Drosophila melanogaster: one gene and its partners. The protein of the gene in region 1 interacts with the protein of each later gene in a pairwise test. Each region holds a gene or a part of one and is shown in the gene's direction. Other genes may lie near its edges. The genes, in order: CG13068, CG6126, Dpm3 and CG9825.

What was found.
Region 2: the proteins of CG13068 (region 1) and CG6126 interact in a two-hybrid assay, tested with the Drosophila melanogaster proteins (one large-scale study listed by BioGRID).
Region 3: the proteins of CG13068 (region 1) and Dpm3 interact in a two-hybrid assay, tested with the Drosophila melanogaster proteins (one large-scale study listed by BioGRID).
Region 4: the proteins of CG13068 (region 1) and CG9825 interact in a two-hybrid assay, tested with the Drosophila melanogaster proteins (one large-scale study listed by BioGRID).

What each region holds. Positions count from the first base shown.
Region 1 is NT_037436.4:16,267,628-16,270,412, forward strand, and holds CG13068 (uncharacterized protein), read left to right. Parts: upstream 1-1,764; 5' UTR 1,765-1,807; coding exon 1,808-1,819; intron 1,820-1,889; coding exon 1,890-2,207; 3' UTR 2,208-2,284; downstream 2,285-2,785. Other genes in the region: CG4950 (uncharacterized protein), read right to left, coding at 1-514.
Region 2 is NT_033777.3:16,197,490-16,205,042, reverse strand, and holds CG6126 (uncharacterized protein), read left to right. Parts: upstream 1-1,959; 5' UTR 1,960-2,209; coding exon 2,210-2,252; intron 2,253-5,148; coding exon 5,149-5,783; intron 5,784-5,845; coding exon 5,846-6,835; 3' UTR 6,836-7,043; downstream 7,044-7,553. Other genes in the region: mtSSB (mitochondrial single stranded DNA-binding protein), read left to right, coding at 41-149, 507-729; CG31287 (uncharacterized protein), read right to left, coding at 829-1,035, 1,093-1,395, 1,450-1,608.
Region 3 is NT_033777.3:13,402,051-13,405,085, reverse strand, and holds Dpm3 (Dolichyl-phosphate mannosyltransferase subunit 3), read left to right. Parts: upstream 1-2,034; 5' UTR 2,035-2,097; coding exon 2,098-2,247; intron 2,248-2,315; coding exon 2,316-2,450; 3' UTR 2,451-2,527; downstream 2,528-3,035. Other genes in the region: yellow-e3, read left to right, coding at 280-627, 692-1,085, 1,151-1,638.
Region 4 is NT_033778.4:22,835,394-22,839,848, forward strand, and holds CG9825 (uncharacterized protein), read left to right. Parts: upstream 1-1,967; 5' UTR 1,968-2,042; coding exon 2,043-2,064; intron 2,065-2,328; coding exon 2,329-2,465; intron 2,466-2,522; coding exon 2,523-3,596; intron 3,597-3,663; coding exon 3,664-3,888; 3' UTR 3,889-3,898; downstream 3,899-4,455. Other genes in the region: CG12490 (uncharacterized protein), read left to right, coding at 1-866, 948-1,154.

The sequences.
Region 1 (2,785 bases):
AAATCTGGCTAATGGTGTGCAGGCCACAGAAGGCATTCACACTCAGCGAGGATATCTCATTGTAGGACAAATCCAAACGCATCAGAACATTGGCGCCAATAAACACAGAAGTCTGGATAGATGTCAGATTATTGTAGGCCAGATTCAGATAGGTGAGATTACTCGCAGCACTGAATGCATTTCTCGTTAGCTCCAAAATATTCGTATTCGAGACATCGAGGGTCTTGAGATATGGGAATGTTTCGAATAGATGGAAGGGCATATAGAGCAGCGTTGATTCGTAAAACTTCATGAACTTGACCATATTTCCGGGTGGTATGTTCTTGATCACGACATTTTGACTGTGTGTGACCGTGAATCCGGTGACCGTGCAAAACGCCTCATTCACGTCCATGTATCCCATGGAATCGTACTCGTCGCATCGCAGGGGGATATCTCCTCCACTGCCATCACAACTCGATATCGCTAGAATAAGGATAACGATCACTTCGAGTATCCTTCGCGTTCTATTCATCTTTTTTACGAACCGCTCGCCGCCAAATAACTTTGTAAACTGCATCAGTGGAATTTCGCAGACTGCCATTCCAGCTTCCACTCCATTTGTATTTACATATAATATTGTATTCATTGATTAAACTTTATCTCGCTCCTCCGCAGATTGCCAGCTTTCAGTAGTCCAGCGCAATAGTGATAACATATTGTCGGTCTGCACTTTGTTTTGTTTATACTTTTATAATGCACTACATTATAACGGTCATTTCAAGACGTGATCTCATAAATGCATTTAATAATAGAAAAAGGTTTTAAAACGAATATATAAAATTTGGGTATCTTACGATATCTTTCTAAATATTGTCATTATATCAATTTTGGTAATATGTTTATACATATGTCGTGTAGCTAGACATTCTTCTGCTTCTGGTTTTCAAGATTAGAAGTATATGTGGTTAATTGAGTACAGGGTATTCCGAGGTCGTCCTCTCCCCAAAAGAACTTGCCCTGTAGGAACCCCTACATGTCTGGCTTCATTTTGCTTCAGAGATATAAGCCCATACAGGCACGTTTCGATTGTGAATGGACTGGTAAGCTGAGCTTGACTCTTATTAAAAGCTGTCTGCTAACTTTAGAGCCTCAGTTATCTGGCGACCCCCTCGAAACTGCATCTTGCCATGCAGTTTGTTGACCTTACGATGCGAATGTAAACGTAACTGGCGTTTTTTGGCTCGTGTGTGAGATTGACCGCATTGCATCAGTCAAGCGGATTAGATTTTGGCCGAAACAAAGAACGGGCACGATGACATGGTTTTGATTGCATAAAGACCATTGCAGCCGACGGACGTAACCCTGAAACAATGCGCTCGCAATCGGATTGAAGCGTGCAATTCCATTTCATTGATTCCTGGCCAACTCTTGGCGCAGGAGGTTACTCATCGGCAATTAGCCGTGTCTGGTGGCATCAATCACATCGGGCTACTGGTCACCTTCGCGGCGACATCTTTTATGGGCCCACAATGCGGACGTGCCCGAAATAATGAATGGGTTTGGTCTTGCATTCAGATTCGGATTCGGATTCGGATTGGAATCGACCTCCGCGGGCGGCGGGAACGTAGCCAAACGGCCAATTGAGCTACTGAAAGGCCGCTCTGCATTCCCATGCAGGTGGTATAGAATCATTCGCCCCATTATCGTGTGTGCCCAGAAAGTCAAAAGCATCTATGCGATTTCCCGGTGCTATAAAAGTTGCATGTCGGATCGAATCAAGTCATAGTCCAATTTGCTAGCTCAAATCAAACTAAACTAAACCATCATGTTCAAGCTGGTGAGTTGGTGGTTTCTCCATATGGATACAGATATCTGGAGTATTATATTAACTGGTTATTTCCGTACAGTCTGCCCTCGTTGTCCTGTGCGCTCTGGTGGCCTGCTCCTCGGCTGAGCCCAAGCCCGCTATCCTGGCCGCCGCTCCAGTGGTTGCAGCTGCTCCTGCCGGCGTGGTCACCGCTACCAGTTCGCAGTACGTGGCCCGCAACTTCAACGGTGTGGCTGCTGCTCCAGTTGTTGCCGCTGCCTACACCGCTCCAGTTGCCGCCGCTGCCTATACCGCTCCAGTTGCCGCCGCTGCTTATACCGCTCCAGTTGCCGCTGCCTACTCTGCTTATCCGTATGCCGCCTACCCTTACAGCGCTGCATACACCACTGTTTTGTAAAACGGATTAACAAGTATTCAAAACGGATTTGAAATGGAATAAAAATAGACCCGACTGGCAATAAAACAAATCAAACTAAAAGCTTAAAAATATTATTCTGGAAATGGGAACACCAAGTTCTGTTTTTCAATAGCAAAAAAGCTATAGTTATATATTATTAATACTTTTTAATGGATTTTCTACTATTAATTATTATTTCTCAATCTTTTGGCGGCAACAAAAGTTCTTGATAGTATTTAAAAAGAAAGTCACCTAAACATATACGTTTTTTATAATTAATATTTTTTTACTGTCACCTTTTCTAAACCTTTTGTTCTGGCAGCGTCTGTTCTGCCCACTTAAAATGCGGAAATGTAGCCCGAAAAAATACCAATTCAGTTGCGTCATCATCCATTGACAAATCACAGATGGCAAAAGTGATAGATTTCTCGAAATGTATAGGTAACCGGCATCTCTGGTAGGAGAATCACGTGTTGGCCATTTAAAAATTGCCGACTGAAAGTTGCGTCAACCCGAATAAATAATTATGCATGTGCGTGTCTAAAAATATATTTCTGGCTTAAAGCGGGCAATAACGA
Region 2 (7,553 bases), on another chromosome or scaffold:
TAGTTATGAAATTGAATTAATTTTGAATAAATAACCACAGCTGTCAACACGGTGACCATTTTGGGACGAGTTGGCGCCGATCCGCAGCTGCGTGGATCCCAGGAGCATCCGGTGGTCACCTTTTCGGTTGCTACACACACCAACTACAAGTAAGTGCATTTGTGTGCGTTTTGCCGCCCAGCATGCGTCTGCAACTGAACTTGAAATCACATCTCAGAGGAGGGAAATAAAAAAGCTACATAAATGTTGACAATTAAGTTAGTTCTTAGCCTTAACCTCCAAGAAAATATCACGTTGAGCTGCTAATTCAGATTTATGTAATGAGTTATTAGAACATTTGCTGTATGTAATTACCTAATGATAACGGCAATAGTGTACATTTCCTTGTTCAATTAACTTCAGTGATCAATTTCTTCTTAGGATCCATGAAATGCCGGATTTCATAAAGAAAATAGCTACCATTTCATTTAAAAAGCATTCATGAAGTCTTAAATATTTCCCCACAGATATGAGAACGGCGACTGGGCCCAACGCACCGACTGGCATCGTGTAGTGGTGTTCAAGCCCAATCTGCGTGACACCGTGCTGGAATACTTGAAGAAGGGACAGCGAACCATGGTGCAGGGAAAGATCACCTATGGAGAGATCACCGACCAGCAGGGCAACCAGAAGACTAGCACCAGTATCATAGCCGACGATGTGTTGTTTTTCCGTGATGCCAACAACTAAAATTTAAGCCCAGATCACCAAACCTAATCTTAAGCGAAAAGTTGAACTTGCAGCATTGTAAGCATTTATAATATTCGTTGGATATATTGTGTTATCAGATTACATGCGTAGTCGTACTCCACATGTGTCTTTTGGTTTTAACTCCTTGACCTTTTTGCATGGGAACGGTGCGTTGAATTGGCGTGCATGTTCGTTATAAAGCTGCTCGAACTCCTTTTGAACTTGTGTGACCTGGCTCTTCAATTTTTCGATATTTTTTTCCATAGACTCCAGTGTATTATTGTGGTAATCGATAAGCTTGGTTACCTGTTGATACACTCACTTTAGAAACTCTAAATACAACTTTTAGTCATCATTTCATACCAAATTTACGGAAGGTACTTTTGCGGATATCTGCTCATTATACGTCGCGACCTCCTCTTTGATCTGATTGCAATGATCGACTGTTTTTTTCGAAGACATCAGCATACTCAGCAAATCCTGATATGTGGTACTTGCCAAAGGAAACACTTGGCCTGCCAGACTCTCAGGACTCGGATAGCTCTGCTCCAATTTCGTAACTGCTTTCTCCGCCTGTATAAGGTTAATCTCGTTTTCATGCAGCTCCATTTCTACCCTAAGCATGGTGCACTTTACTGATCTCAGGGTATCATCGATGGGAAGTGCCTGTTGGAGTATGAAAAATTTATATCCTGTTTGCCTATGGCCATTGAGTCTCACATTTTTGGCATTGTCTAGGCAAATTTGTTCCTGTTCCTTAAGAAATTTTAACTTGGTATTGAAATCTGATTCCATTTCAAGGCTGTCCTGCATTAAAATATCCGCCAGCATATCCAAGTACAGGAATGTCGACGGATCTGATAAGTTTGGCTCACACATAATTTTAAAATTAACTTTAAATGAATTTTATGTATTTTTTGTATGTGTTTTTGTGACTTATGTTTTGTTTGTCACTGAGTGTTAGGCAAATCAAAGCTTGCTAAGGTATGAGTTTTCTGATCGTATTCTAATCTAAGGGATCCTTGCCAAGAGGCATCATTTATTTTCATACATCAAGGATTATAATGGTGATTACAGTTTTTGAAGCTCTTACCCTCGAGCAGAGTTTGCTCTTTAGTTCCCAACTTTGGAGACCTCCACAAGCTCTCTTCGCTCGCGAGCTTGGAGCGACCTTATCGCCATTTACCACTCAGTTTTCTCGCTGAGCGACACAGTTCGCAGTTAGTTTTTGCCAGTTCAAATGCTGCCGGCGGTCGGAAGAGTTGATAGCTGATCGAGCGCTCCGTTTGCGATTTTGTTTCACTCGAGCACGTTGTTTATCCCGGATTCGTTTTGCATCTTCGCGACCCGTAACTATCAGCAGTGCTGCACTGGTGTGCCATTCATACATGCTCCACTTCTGCAGAAGATGACGATTTGTTAAGAAGCAATAGCAAACAGTTACTTTCATTTATTTTTGATTATCAATAAAAAATCAAACATGGCTGTGGATTATGTACTGGAGGACCTGATGGGGAAACTTGGTGAGTGGAATGGGCTTTTGGGAGCGAAGACTTTTGAAAGGTCAGCTGTTACGTTGCCAGGCGTCTCCATCCCGTGCTGATAAGAGCCTGGCGTTATGCTTATCATTTTGAGAGGTCTTATCAGCGTTGCAAGCTACTATGGATAATATTTTGTTTCACGACGACCAATGAGGTTTACCGCCCAACCTTCTGTTCTGCTTTTAAAATCTATAATTAATTTTTCCGTATTATGCTTTTAATCTCCGCCTAATCTATCCGGCTGGCTGTCCGTCACGTCAAGTGCTCAAAAGAAGCCGACTATAATACTTTTTTAATTGCAACTATTTTCATTTTCATTTTGCACTATTCTTAATTTAATAAATCGTCGAGGCCACCAAGTGACAGACATTTATGACAGCTTGATAGAGACTCCGACCTGTTGCTCCCCTTTTGACTATATACCATACCAAGTATGTATTTATGTACACATATAGTCGACACATGTTCGTGTGGGCCAAGTTCTGAGCTGGAGGCTGTCTGACACTTGTTGAGCCTACTTGGCTTTAGCACAGTGACGCTAAAACGAGTGTGGCGGCTAACAGGCAAACAAAAATAAAACGGGTGCAAAAGGGGCGGTATCTGTCACAAGACTGTGAAGTAGGCTCGTCATAAAGATCTTGGGATCTACGGATATCTGGGTATTTGCTTATAATTTATTATATACTCTAATTGTGCGGTTCAAACATTGCAGCTAGCTTGTGGAAGCTACAAAATTAAGCGTGTTTATATGCAGTATGCAAAATAGTTAAGATTAATTGTGGGAATACAGTGGAAGATCGATGGATAAACAGTTTTATTTGTCACGGCTACAAATTAGAAATTTATGAGTCACATAAAATATGAGTTGGAATATAAAATTTGTGTCAACGATTGTGCTGAAATTGTCGTTAATTAAAATAGAACAGTTTTTTACAATCCGAAACTGGTTTTGTATTAAGCATTCGCAAAACCGCAGCCTATAAGAAAGTGACAGGAGAGAGGGAGTAATAATCGCATTAGCGACTTTTTTATTCGTAATATATTCGCATACATTTGTATCTGTGAAATGCAAAAAACCTTAAACTGGTTTGCTCACATTCAACTATATGGCAATACCTCCCTCAGCCATCAAAATTCACATATCGCTCTTTTATTTCTGTTTACTTTGTTGAAGGCCTATTGGCGAGCAGCAACTCTAATTACTTCGAATTTGGAGGCGTGTTGCATTGCTGAGTTGGTTGTTATTTGTACGTAAGAAGGTTACCATAAAACCAGCAACTTAAAATGACTTTGAGAGCACTTCCACACGTGCTATGTGGAGAGCACAGAACAGAACTAAATCGACCTTCAGTTGTTAGTAAACGCGGGAAGTGAAAATGTTGAAGTACGGATGAACAAAAACCGAAGGAAGCCTTAAAGTGGAGGTGTAAAACCATGATCTACCTCAATTATTCGAATCATGATACTTAAGCACAAAGGAAATTTTAAAAGCTTTGAAGAAATCAACTCTGAAATAAAGCAACAGTTGATAGTAGAATAACAGTAGATTAATATACATGTGCAATATTGTTAGAAATATGACTGCATTATTTTTTAATATTCCGTGTTCTTATCCATCTCACTTATCGCTCAAAAAGTTTGCCCAGAATAAACAACGGTCCAAACCTGCGCCATATTCATTTTAATGTGCAAACTGTTGGTTTTGTACATCATAATAGATGGCTTACGATTAAGAGAACAACAAACATTGACAGGGCCAAAAACAAATGTCGTATTCAAGGGCCACTTGGCAACAATTATACGGCTAGTTATATTGGACGGATGCAATAAATCTGAAGCAACAATATCACTGATATATGATCTAGCATTTGGTGGCCTCTGATAATCCGCTATGAGTTCCACATTAGTATTTACTATTACGAGTTTAGTTATCACAAATTTGGCCAATCGATTTCCTAGATTGTGCTCAATTATACGCTGATTATGTCTATTGGGGGCGTAATTGAATTTCATTAGGCGTAGAGTCAAATTTTATAATTGAGATTAATTAAGTCAACCCGATGACATAATTTTACACTTCACGCAATCGTTTTAATAATGAAAAATGAAAATTCTCAGACGTTTTACTCATGATTTGTCGATTGCAACGTAACCGGGGTGAACGTAACTTTTCATTTGATGGCAAGAGTTTCGTTTAAACGATCAATAAACGTAACCCACAAATCAATTGAAACGGCTGATTGAACATTGGACCGTGATCAAGTGTCAAATTCTCGTATCTAGGCTACATACTGTCCATGTCGTTAGAAATTTACACAGCCCCTGGCCTCCCATCAACGCGATCGCCATGGACTGACTGACCAGCCAAGTCATAATCGATTCAGTGCATTCTCCCAAGACATCCGAGTCTCTTTTCATGGCGTTCGAAACCAAAACCAAACCAAACCAAACTGTGGGCAAATATTTGACGGGCTAGGCGAATGCGCTTCAATTGAAATCGAATTGAATAAATTCCACTTGATTTAATTGCAAAGCCTTTGGAGTGACGACAATTCCAGCGATACCCATTAAAAGTTCCCATCTACATAAAAGTCGGCTGTTTCTTTGGGTTGTGTTTTTATCGCAGCTACGTGATGTTCAAATTCAAATACTGAAATAAAAAACCGTTTTAAATAATTTGAGCTAGAACAACTTCCGTTTTCAGCTCAACTTACTTTCTTTTTATTATATTTAATCGTAAACTGGGTGATTCATGGGTGCTACAGATTATCACTATCTATCATGTTGCTGAAAGCTCACATTTGTTGTGCGCTCATAACCTTTCCCAAGACATTAATGATTGTGAAATGTCTTTCTATTTTTTTCTATCCAATTGCAGGGGAGTTTGGAAAGTACCAGTTCCTGCAGTTCTTCCTGCAGGTGCTCTCCGGCCTGACCGCTGGCATGCACATGCTATCGCTGGTCACGGTGGCCGCCGTGCCTGAGCATCGCTGCTTCATCGAGGGCGTGGATAACAGCAGCTTGTCGGTGACACCATGGAACTCGAGCGCTATCCTGGCCGCCATTCCGCTGAAGCCCAATGGCGAGCTAGAGTCCTGCCTCATGTTCGATCCCAGTAGTCCTGGCACCAATACCACCATCAATTGCGAACGTTACGTATACGACACGACGTACTACAAGACTTCGCGCACCATCGACTGGAACTTTGTGTGCGATCGCCGCTGGATGGGAGCCATTGTGCAGACCGTGTTCATGCTGGGCGTGTTCACAGGCGCAGTCACCCTTGGCGGACTCGCCGACAAAGTGGGTCGGAAAACCGTGTTCTGCTGGTCGGCCCTGTTCCAATTGATCATCGGTGTGGGTGTGGCCTTCATTCCCGAGTACTTCTCATTCATGGTGGCTCGCTACCTGCTGGGCATTGTGGGATCAGCGGGTGCCTACATCTGTGGGTTCGTGCTGACCATGGAACTGGTGGGACCTACCAAGCGTACTGTGTGCGGCATTACCTTCCAGGTGAGGAAGACTTCAATAGATTTTGCATTTTTTAAACTGGCTATACCATGCAATACTTTTAGGCTGTTTTCGCTGGTGGCATCATGTTGGTGGCCGGATGGGGAGCACTCATCCCTGACCGCCAGTGGCTCCAAGTGATCTACGGACTGCATGGCTGTCTGTTCCTGGGCCACTGGTGGTGGCTCGATGAATCTCCGCGCTGGCTGTGGATGCAGGGACGTGCCGCCGAGGCGGTGGATATTGTGGCCAAGGGCCTGAGAATCAACGGATCGGGCATCCCGGTGGACAAGGAGTACTATGTGCAGAAAGCCAAACAGCAGGCGGCGGCCGAAGAAAAATCCAGCGCCGGATTGAGCGACCTCTTCCGCACGCCCAACTTGAGGATGAAGACTTTGAACGTGTGCCTCTGCTGGTTCGCCAATTCTCTGGTTTATTACGGACTATCGCTCAGTGCCGGCAAGCTGTATGGAAATCCCTACCTGATCCTGTTCATCATGGGCCTCGTGGAGTTCCCCAGCTACATAACCATTGTGTTCGTCCTAGATCGCCTGGGTCGTCGATCGATCACCTCCACCCTGATGTTGGGTGGCGGTCTATGCTGCATTGTGGCCGCCTACATTGCCCAGGGCAGCACCACCTCCACGGCGGTGGTAATGGCAGGAAAGCTCCTCATCGCCGGTTCCTTTGCCGTAATCTACAATTACTCAGCCGAACTGTTTCCCACCGTGGTGCGGAACTCGGCCATGGGATTGGGATCGATGTGTGCCCGTTTGTCGGGAGCCCTTACTCCGCTCATTACATTGCTGGACTCATTTGATCCGAAGATACCGGCCGTGCTGTTCGGCGTGGTGGCCCTGATCTCGGGCTTCTGGGTTATGTTCCTGCCGGAGACAATGAACCAGCCCATGCCCGAGTCCATTGAGGATGGAGAGAACTTCGGAAAGGGAGATACTTGGTTCAGTCAGTGTGCTGGTCGCAAAAAGCGCCAGAATAGCGTATATCCCGACGATCCGGAGCAAATGGTGCCGCTCAAGAACATCGAGAGCAAGTAGAACCTAGCCAAAGACGATTGTTTCCCAAGTCCAAAATCCAGCTTAAATTCCTTGTTACCCTGTGTTTTCTTGTTAAGAATTCTACTCTTCTGCCTAGTAGTAAGATTTAATAGTTTCTATTCATTCCAAGCGAATAAAACGATGTGCAGAATATGGGGAATCCTAATTTGTGGATTCACTCATTTCTGAGTGTCCCTTTGTTGTTTGTACGGATTTTTTCTTTTAATTTTTTCGGTGGTAAAATTTAGTTTAAAGGAAATTTAAATGCTTGACGAGCATTTTTACTGATTAGTGTTGTCTACTTTTAGGCTCTATCAATTTAGGCGCAGATTCATAGCTTGAATTTCAATTTTCTCTACGGTAAAACCAGTACACACCAAAAAATTATTTCCCAACTATTTCCAATTAAAGTTTATTCTCCGACCGACACAGCCAATTCGGGTTCGTCTGGCCTTGCAAAGTTTCAGTAATTTCCACTCAATTGCACTATCGAATTGCCAATTGCCGACAGGGATTTCCAATGTCAAATCCATAACCCATCGCTTCCCTTTGCTCCACATGATGTTTAACCCGCCAATTAAAGTTTGTTTAAAGAGAGAGTTTTGGTTTTTCGGTTTTTGTTTCTTGTTTGGTAATTCTTCATTTTGTTTTGTTTGGTACATTTGAGAACATTCATTTCGAATTTGAATATATTTTCAATTTAAATTTTAACTACACG
Region 3 (3,035 bases), on another chromosome or scaffold:
CTTAATAAGTGCTGAGGTCGTGTTAAATTTTTACATTCATTCGCATTTATAAAATTATAAGTAATAAATCATTAAATAAAGATTCTTATCTTTGGATTTAGCAATGATAGGACTTAAATGTATTGCAACATTTGTTCTATTACCACATAGCTTAAGTTTCTCTGAGTGCACTTTGAGATTGAAGGCTAAGAACTTTAGGGCCTACCTGCACATCTTTAGTCTTCGGCAATCGTTTGAACCGCGCGGAACTGTCACTTAGCAGGTTCTCATTTGATAGCCATGTTGGTCGTCCTGCTCGCATTATTTTGTGCAGTCCAGGGCCAGGCATTGGTCCTCAAGGAGCTGCACACCCTGCATCAGTGGACGAACCTCAGTTTGGGCGACGATCTGTCCAAGGGCAATCGCTTTCTGCCGGTGGATGTGGACATTGAGTACGGCGATGAGGGCAGGCATCGCACCTTTCTCACGATTCCGCGACTGGGGATGGCCACACCCTTCACACTGGCCACCGTCATTGCGGAGCACAATGAGCTGGTGGAGAATCCCAGACTGGAACCGTATCCCAACGAGGAGTGGCACGTGCCACCCAACAATTGCTCCGGCATCACCTCAGCCATTAGGACTTATGTAAGTAATAAAGCATATTTTCCCAACAGAAGATATTTCATGAATATTTATCGTTTTCTCCCAGATCGACGAGTGCTGGCGACTCTGGGTGGTGGATTCAGGGCAGGTAAACTCCCTGCAGTTGTGCCCGCCACAAATTCTCACATTTGATTTGGTGAAGGACGAACTAGTCCAACGACACGCACTTCCGCCCGATTCCTACATTCCCAGCGTATCCATCTTCACGGCTTTGGTGGTGGATCTGGCCGAGAGGGGCACACCCAACCGATGTGTTGGCGGCAGAGCGTATATAGCCGATGCCTGGGGTTATGGTCTAATCGTGTTTGACTCCCTGACGGGACGATCCTGGCGCATAGAGCATGAGTCCATGAAGCCGTCGCCCTTGCTGAGATTAGGACGCTCCAGCAACTCGCAGGCGGGAATATTTACAGTGAGCCTCAGTCCCAGCGAAGTGGAAGGTAGCTATTCAATTTAAATTCTAAATACTCAAAAATTATTTATAATTTCCAATGCAAATTTACAGACCGCTTTCTGTACTTTCACACGCTGAACTCCTTTAATGAGATGAGGGTTCCGCTCTCCCTGATCAACAACGAGACCTTCTGGAAGTCTGCGAATGCCAGCAGGGATAGCTTCCACAGCCTGGGCACCCGAGGAATCCAGTGCGAATCGGAGGTGATGGATCAGTCGGGGAATCTCTACTGCAGCCTCATCAGTTTAGGGGCGCTGGTGAAATGGGAGGAGTCCGTGTCCAACTACACGGCGGATGACCTGCGTGTGGTGGCCTACAATCCGCACAAGATCAAGTTCGTCACGGGCCTCAAGATCAACAGGAATTCCAAGGGAGAGGAGGAGCTGTGGGCCTTGAGCAGCCAGCCGAAACTCTTTGTTGGCGGCGACTTGCCCGCGAACGAGGTCAAGTTCCAAATAATTGGCTGCCGAACCGCTGACCTGCTTGCCAACACGCCGTGTACAGTGGGCGCCGCAGAAACCACGCCCACCAACGTTTAATTAAAACTTAGTTTTAACAAGTTTGAAACTGCGTCAATCGATTACTCTGATTTAAATTGCTGGCTGTAGAAGGCTGGCTGTTATGGCGCAACTTTGATCTATCGATAAATTGCTGACTGTGTTTAGCTGAGTAGTATGGCATTTGATTTGCTGACTGTGGATAGCTTTGTGCTATGGCACGTGCTTAGGGCTTGGTCACACTTAAGTTAGCCAATTAGAAAAGTAAACAATGTCTAACTGGAAGCCGTCAGGCTACGAATTACTAATTAGAAAATCTCCAACTAGACATGAATAGGAAAACCTCTAACTAGATTTGAATAGGTAAACCTCCTATCGATAGTAGCCGGTAAATATCGATATCGAATTACCGGGTGACCATCGGCTTAAGTTCCAGCTCTATGTTTACGTGTAGAACTTTATTTTCGGTTTAGTTTTGTTTACCAATAAATTTCGTTAGCTATGACAAATCTACAACGCTGGCTATTTTACGCATCGCTCTTTGCGATTCCCTATCTCTCCGTTGTTTTGGGAACAGTGCAAACGCCACTAACTACCAAGTATTTCCTGCACATTCAGCTTTTACCACTTTTGCTCCTCGTGATTTTTGGAGTGAGTTTTTGGATATGAATCAATGCAGATAACACCTCTTATTGACTACTACTATATATTACCCACAGATATATTCCGTTTGGACTGTTCTATATAGAACTCTGACTTTTAACGATTGTCCCGAGGCCGCCAAGGAGCTGCAGGATGAAATTCAGGAGGCTCGCAAGGATTTGATAGCCAAGGGATTTCGGTTTCGAGATTAGGAGACTTCCAGCTCGTAGGACTTGTGCATGTTAATCTGTAATTCCATTATTTATAAAAACAAAAATTACGCAAATTTACTCTAGACCGCATTTTGTGTGGGCGGACGCGTTGTTGGGGGCTGATTTCCCCAGGTGTCGGAAGTTTGGTGGCCAAATTATGTTGAGGTTTTGAAAGGATATGCTTGAAAAAGTATGGAATATGTTTATGTTTAATTGGCTTAGCTCCCCTGTGAATTACTCAAAATAAAAAATATAAGAAAACTAAAAAAGTATATGAGGTAAAATACGTTTAAAGAGATTAATAATATTCTTTACGGAAAACATATTTTTACTTAATGAACATGGTATATGGAAAACTCGTAAGTGCGAACCATATATTGCAAATCCATGCTTTGGCTATCTATTTCCAATAAATCAATTTTTTTAAAATTCTCTTAATTACAATGCGAAAGAGAAAAAAATATACTGTTTCAAAACTTTAATTTTCTCTTCTGCAAAATACTGGAAGGAGTTATAATTGCGAAGCTGAATGTTGTGATACTCAAAAGATCCAATATAAACCGATTAATAGCCATTTGAAGTTAA
Region 4 (4,455 bases), on another chromosome or scaffold:
GCGTGGTTATGGGCTTGGCACAGGGACTAGTTTTTCCCTGTATTCATCACCATTTGGCCAAATGGTCACCTCCGGCGGAACGAAATCGGTTGGGAGCTCTTAGTCACACTGGGATGGAGTGCGGCAATGTAAGTGCCATGTTCTTGAGCGGAATGATAGCCAAAAGTGCCATTGGTTGGCCAGGAATATCATATGTCTCCGCAGGATTAGCCTTCGCCTGGTGTGCCATTTGGTTCGTTTTTGCCGCTGACAATGCAGTGGAATCTCGTTACATAACCCAGGAAGAACTCCACTATATCGAATCGTCTCTGAAGCACAATGAGGACTATCACAAGACCGTAATTCCCGTACCATGGATGGCGATTTGGACCTCGGCACCATTTCTTGCTCTTACGCTGACGCGTTGTTGCGCGACCTGGGGTCTGAGCACCCTCCAGGCCCAAATCCCAACTTATATGAACGGAGTTCTGGATATGGACATGAAAAGCAATGCATTCTTTTCGGCATTACCATTTCTGGCCATGTGGATTATGTCGTATGTGTACCTGATAATCGCCGATGTTCTGCTCGCCGGAAACAGGCTGAGTTTAACGGCCCTCCGGAAGACCTTCAACTCGTTGGCCTTCTGGATTCCTTGTGCCACTTTGATTGGAATCGGATTCCTGGATCAGGAGCAGAAGAACCTGGCAATTGCTTTGATGACCATCAGTGTCGGTGTCAACAGTGGAGCAACAATCGGAAGCTCCTTGAACACCATAGATCTATCCCCGAATCATGCGAGTATTCTAATGGGAATCTTGAATACGGCTGTTACTGTAGTGCCTATAGTAACCCCTTTGATTGTTGGAGTTATTGTTCATGAAGACGTAAGTTTGCACTGTTAGTGTTTATAAACAGGGCAGTGATAAATAAGTATAAATAAGAAGACTTTCTGTTGATTGTTTCAGGATAACCGTGCTGAGTGGCAGATAGTGTTCATAATTGCGGCAGTACTTTTTTTTGTCGGAAACTCGGTGTACCTATACTTTGGAACGGCTGTTTCACAACCCTGGGATGCTGAAGACTACCTCACAGTAAAGGTGCCAGAGCTAGCTAAAGTTCCAGCTATCCATGAAGCTGGTAAAGGTATTGATGACCTTCCACGAAGTCCTTGAATTGAAGTTCTATCGATAGCACTTAAGTCTTCAGTTAACATAGAAACTATTTAAAACAACAAAGCAATCAAAATAATTTAGAGTATTATTATTAAATTTAATAAGATTTAAGATCTACATCAGTACATTTCATTTGTTTATTAAACGTATAAGTAAAACGATTTGTTTGAATTAAAATGTTTGAGCGTTATTTGCTTATCAAAAGTCGTCAAATTTACCAAAGGTGCGGCCATAAATCAATCCAATAATGGTATGGCAGTAACTACTCTTGATATTACCAATTGATTTTGGAACGCCACACGACCAGGCAATGCTGTTCTAAACAACCTCGTTTAACAGTAGAAAAGGAACTGCAGGTAGGATATTTTCGTCAAGATATCTAAAATTAACTATTAAAGGTGCAAAACCTTGGCTTCTTTCTTGACTAAGTAACCTGAAGGCCGAAATGCCCACCTATTCGAAAAAGGGTTCTCGATATGGCCATGAAAAAGCAATGCATTCTTTTTGGCGCTAACATTTTAGGCCATGTTGCTTATGTGGCATCTATCTTTTACCGAATCGTGCCAGAATCCTTACTAGAATTGTAGAAATGGATGAAAATAATGATTTATTGATTGATTTACAATATTCTGACTAATGACATAATAACTAGTTTGTAAAGTACAACAATTTTTTAATGACGCTTTTTAATTCAATGGTTAAATTCGCCCGCTGTATGACCTTATCACCTGACGTGTCGTATCAGATAAGCAACATTTGGCTTATCGTCTAATTCAATTTGGATTTAAATCCACTCTATGTTCGTGGTCTCACTCACTTAACTTCCCACAGTGATTCCGATCGGTCGTTTAAAAGAAGTCAGGAGGTGTTTTGTTGACCAAATCAAAAATGACGGCCGAGACAAACAAAGGTGCGTGAAAGGAAATCCTTCGGTTCGGATAAGAGTTTGTGAATGAATTGACACCCAACGAACTTGACACAGTGGAAAACCCCTTCATGGCTCAGACCTTGCACTCCGTCTGATTTCTGGGCTTTTCGCACACGCATTGAGTGGTCATAAATTACTACAATAATGGCGCGATAACCGAGTCTCAAGAGCAATTCAGACTTATTTACCCAACTGTTTGTAGACAGGAAGTAACAGTGATAATACCAGTTCGTTTTGTTATTGCAGGACCCGTTCTGGGAATGAGGCATGTCCAGGCGCTACTGATCTTCCTCAATATAACTACCGTATTCATAGGCCGCCTAAATGTGGGCGTGTCTGTGGTGGCAATGACCAATGCGGAAACCACGAACCCGAACTTTCCGGTAAGAATAGGGATCCTATCAAGAAAATACCACTTAGCTTACTAGATTCTCTACTAGGAATACGATTGGACGGAGGCAGAGAAGTCGTACATTCTCTCCAGTTTCTTTTGGGGCTACATCCTAACGCAATTCCTTGGAGGTTATCTCTGCAAGCGCTTTGGAGTCAAGAGTGTAATGTTTTGGGGTGTCTTCGGATCTGGTGTCTGCAGTGCTTTGACGCCGCTGTTCATCGGATTTGGAGAATGGCAGGCCTACTGTGGAATTCGAGTTCTAATGGGATTGGCCCAGGGAGTGGTATTCCCCTGCATTCATCAGCACCTGGCTAAATGGTCACCGCCCGAGGAAAGAAATCGGTTGGGAGCTCTGAGTCACACTGGAATCGAGTGCGGCAATGTGAGTGCCATGTTCCTGAGCGGAATGATAGCCAAGAGCTCCCTGGGATGGCCCGGAATCTCATATGTCTCGGCTGGAGTGGCCTTCTTCTGGTGTACATTATGGTTCGTCTTCGCTGCCAACCATCCTACGGAATCTCGTTTCATAGGAGAGAACGAACTGATCTATATTGAGTCGTCTCTAAAGCACAATGAGTCATACCACGCTACCATTATACCCATTCCCTGGAAGGCAATTTGGACGTCGGCACCATTCCTGGCCCTGCTCATAGTACGATGCGCTGAGAACTGGGGACTGAGCACTCTGCAGGCCGAGATCCCATCCTATATGAACGGAGTCCTCGACATGGACATGAAGAGCAATGCGTTCTTCTCGGCACTCCCATTCTTGGCCATGTGGTGCATGTCGTATATTTACCTAGTCGTAGCCGATGTGCTCTTGGGCAAGAACTCGGTGTCCTTGACGATTTTGAGAAAGACCTACAACTCCATTGCCTTCTGGATTCCTGCTGCCACTTTGGTGGGCATTGGCTTTTTGGACAAGGAACAAAAGAACTTCGCGATTGCTCTGATGACCATCAGTGTGGGCGTGAATAGTGCTCAAACCATTGGCAGTGTTTTAAACACAATTGATCTATCGAAAAATCACGCTAGCATTCTAATGGGAATTGTGAATACAGCGGCGAATTTCGTGCCCATAGTCACTCCTTTAGTTGTTGGATGGATTGTTAAGGAAAATGTGAGTGCTTGCAAAAGTTGGTAGGAAGTAAAGATTTTTAATTGCTTATTGTATCCTTTCCTTTCAGTCTGATCGCTCCCAATGGCAGATCGTGTTCATCATTGCCTCCGTAATCTTCTTTGTGGGCAATTGCATTTACTTGGTGTTTGGCACGGCCGAAACTCAGCCCTGGGATGCCGAGGACTATCTGCAGACACAGAACCCGGAACTTGCCAATAGACCACCTATGCAGGCGTTATCCTTTCCAATTAACGAAAATTCCAAAGAGAAAATTAATAGTAAAAGCCATTAATTCTTAACCCATTTAACGCATTTATTTTTTAGACTAGTCTGGATAACCAAATTTACATTTTAGCATTTGGTTTTTATTTGTTCACTTTAGTGGTCTAAAAATCATAACTTGGTAGAGAGATAGCAAACGATTCTTTTATCTATAACTGACACTCAAATTGAGTTATTCTTGATATTTTGAAAATGCCATTGAGGGCGACATCACTAAATATTTTTAATTACAAGTCCGCAGTCTCAAGAGCTAGTCAGCTATTATTGTTTTGATTGCTCGAAAATATAGACATATTCTTGTGTTTAAAATTCCCTTAGTTACCGTCGCTAGTAGACTGAATTATAGAGCATTTAGTTCTGCAGTTCATTTTTAAGATGCCGTTTGCGAAGACCTAAAAATATTATCTTACGTACAACGATCTCGTCATTGCACTTCTCGCCATATGATTTGTGATAAAAAAAATTGGCAATGCCCACAGTATCACTAAATGGTACACACCTTTATGGTTTCTTTGGAACAAAAATTTAAGGCGCGACCTATAACTTTAGTAAGTGACTCATCGTTCGAAATGAAGGA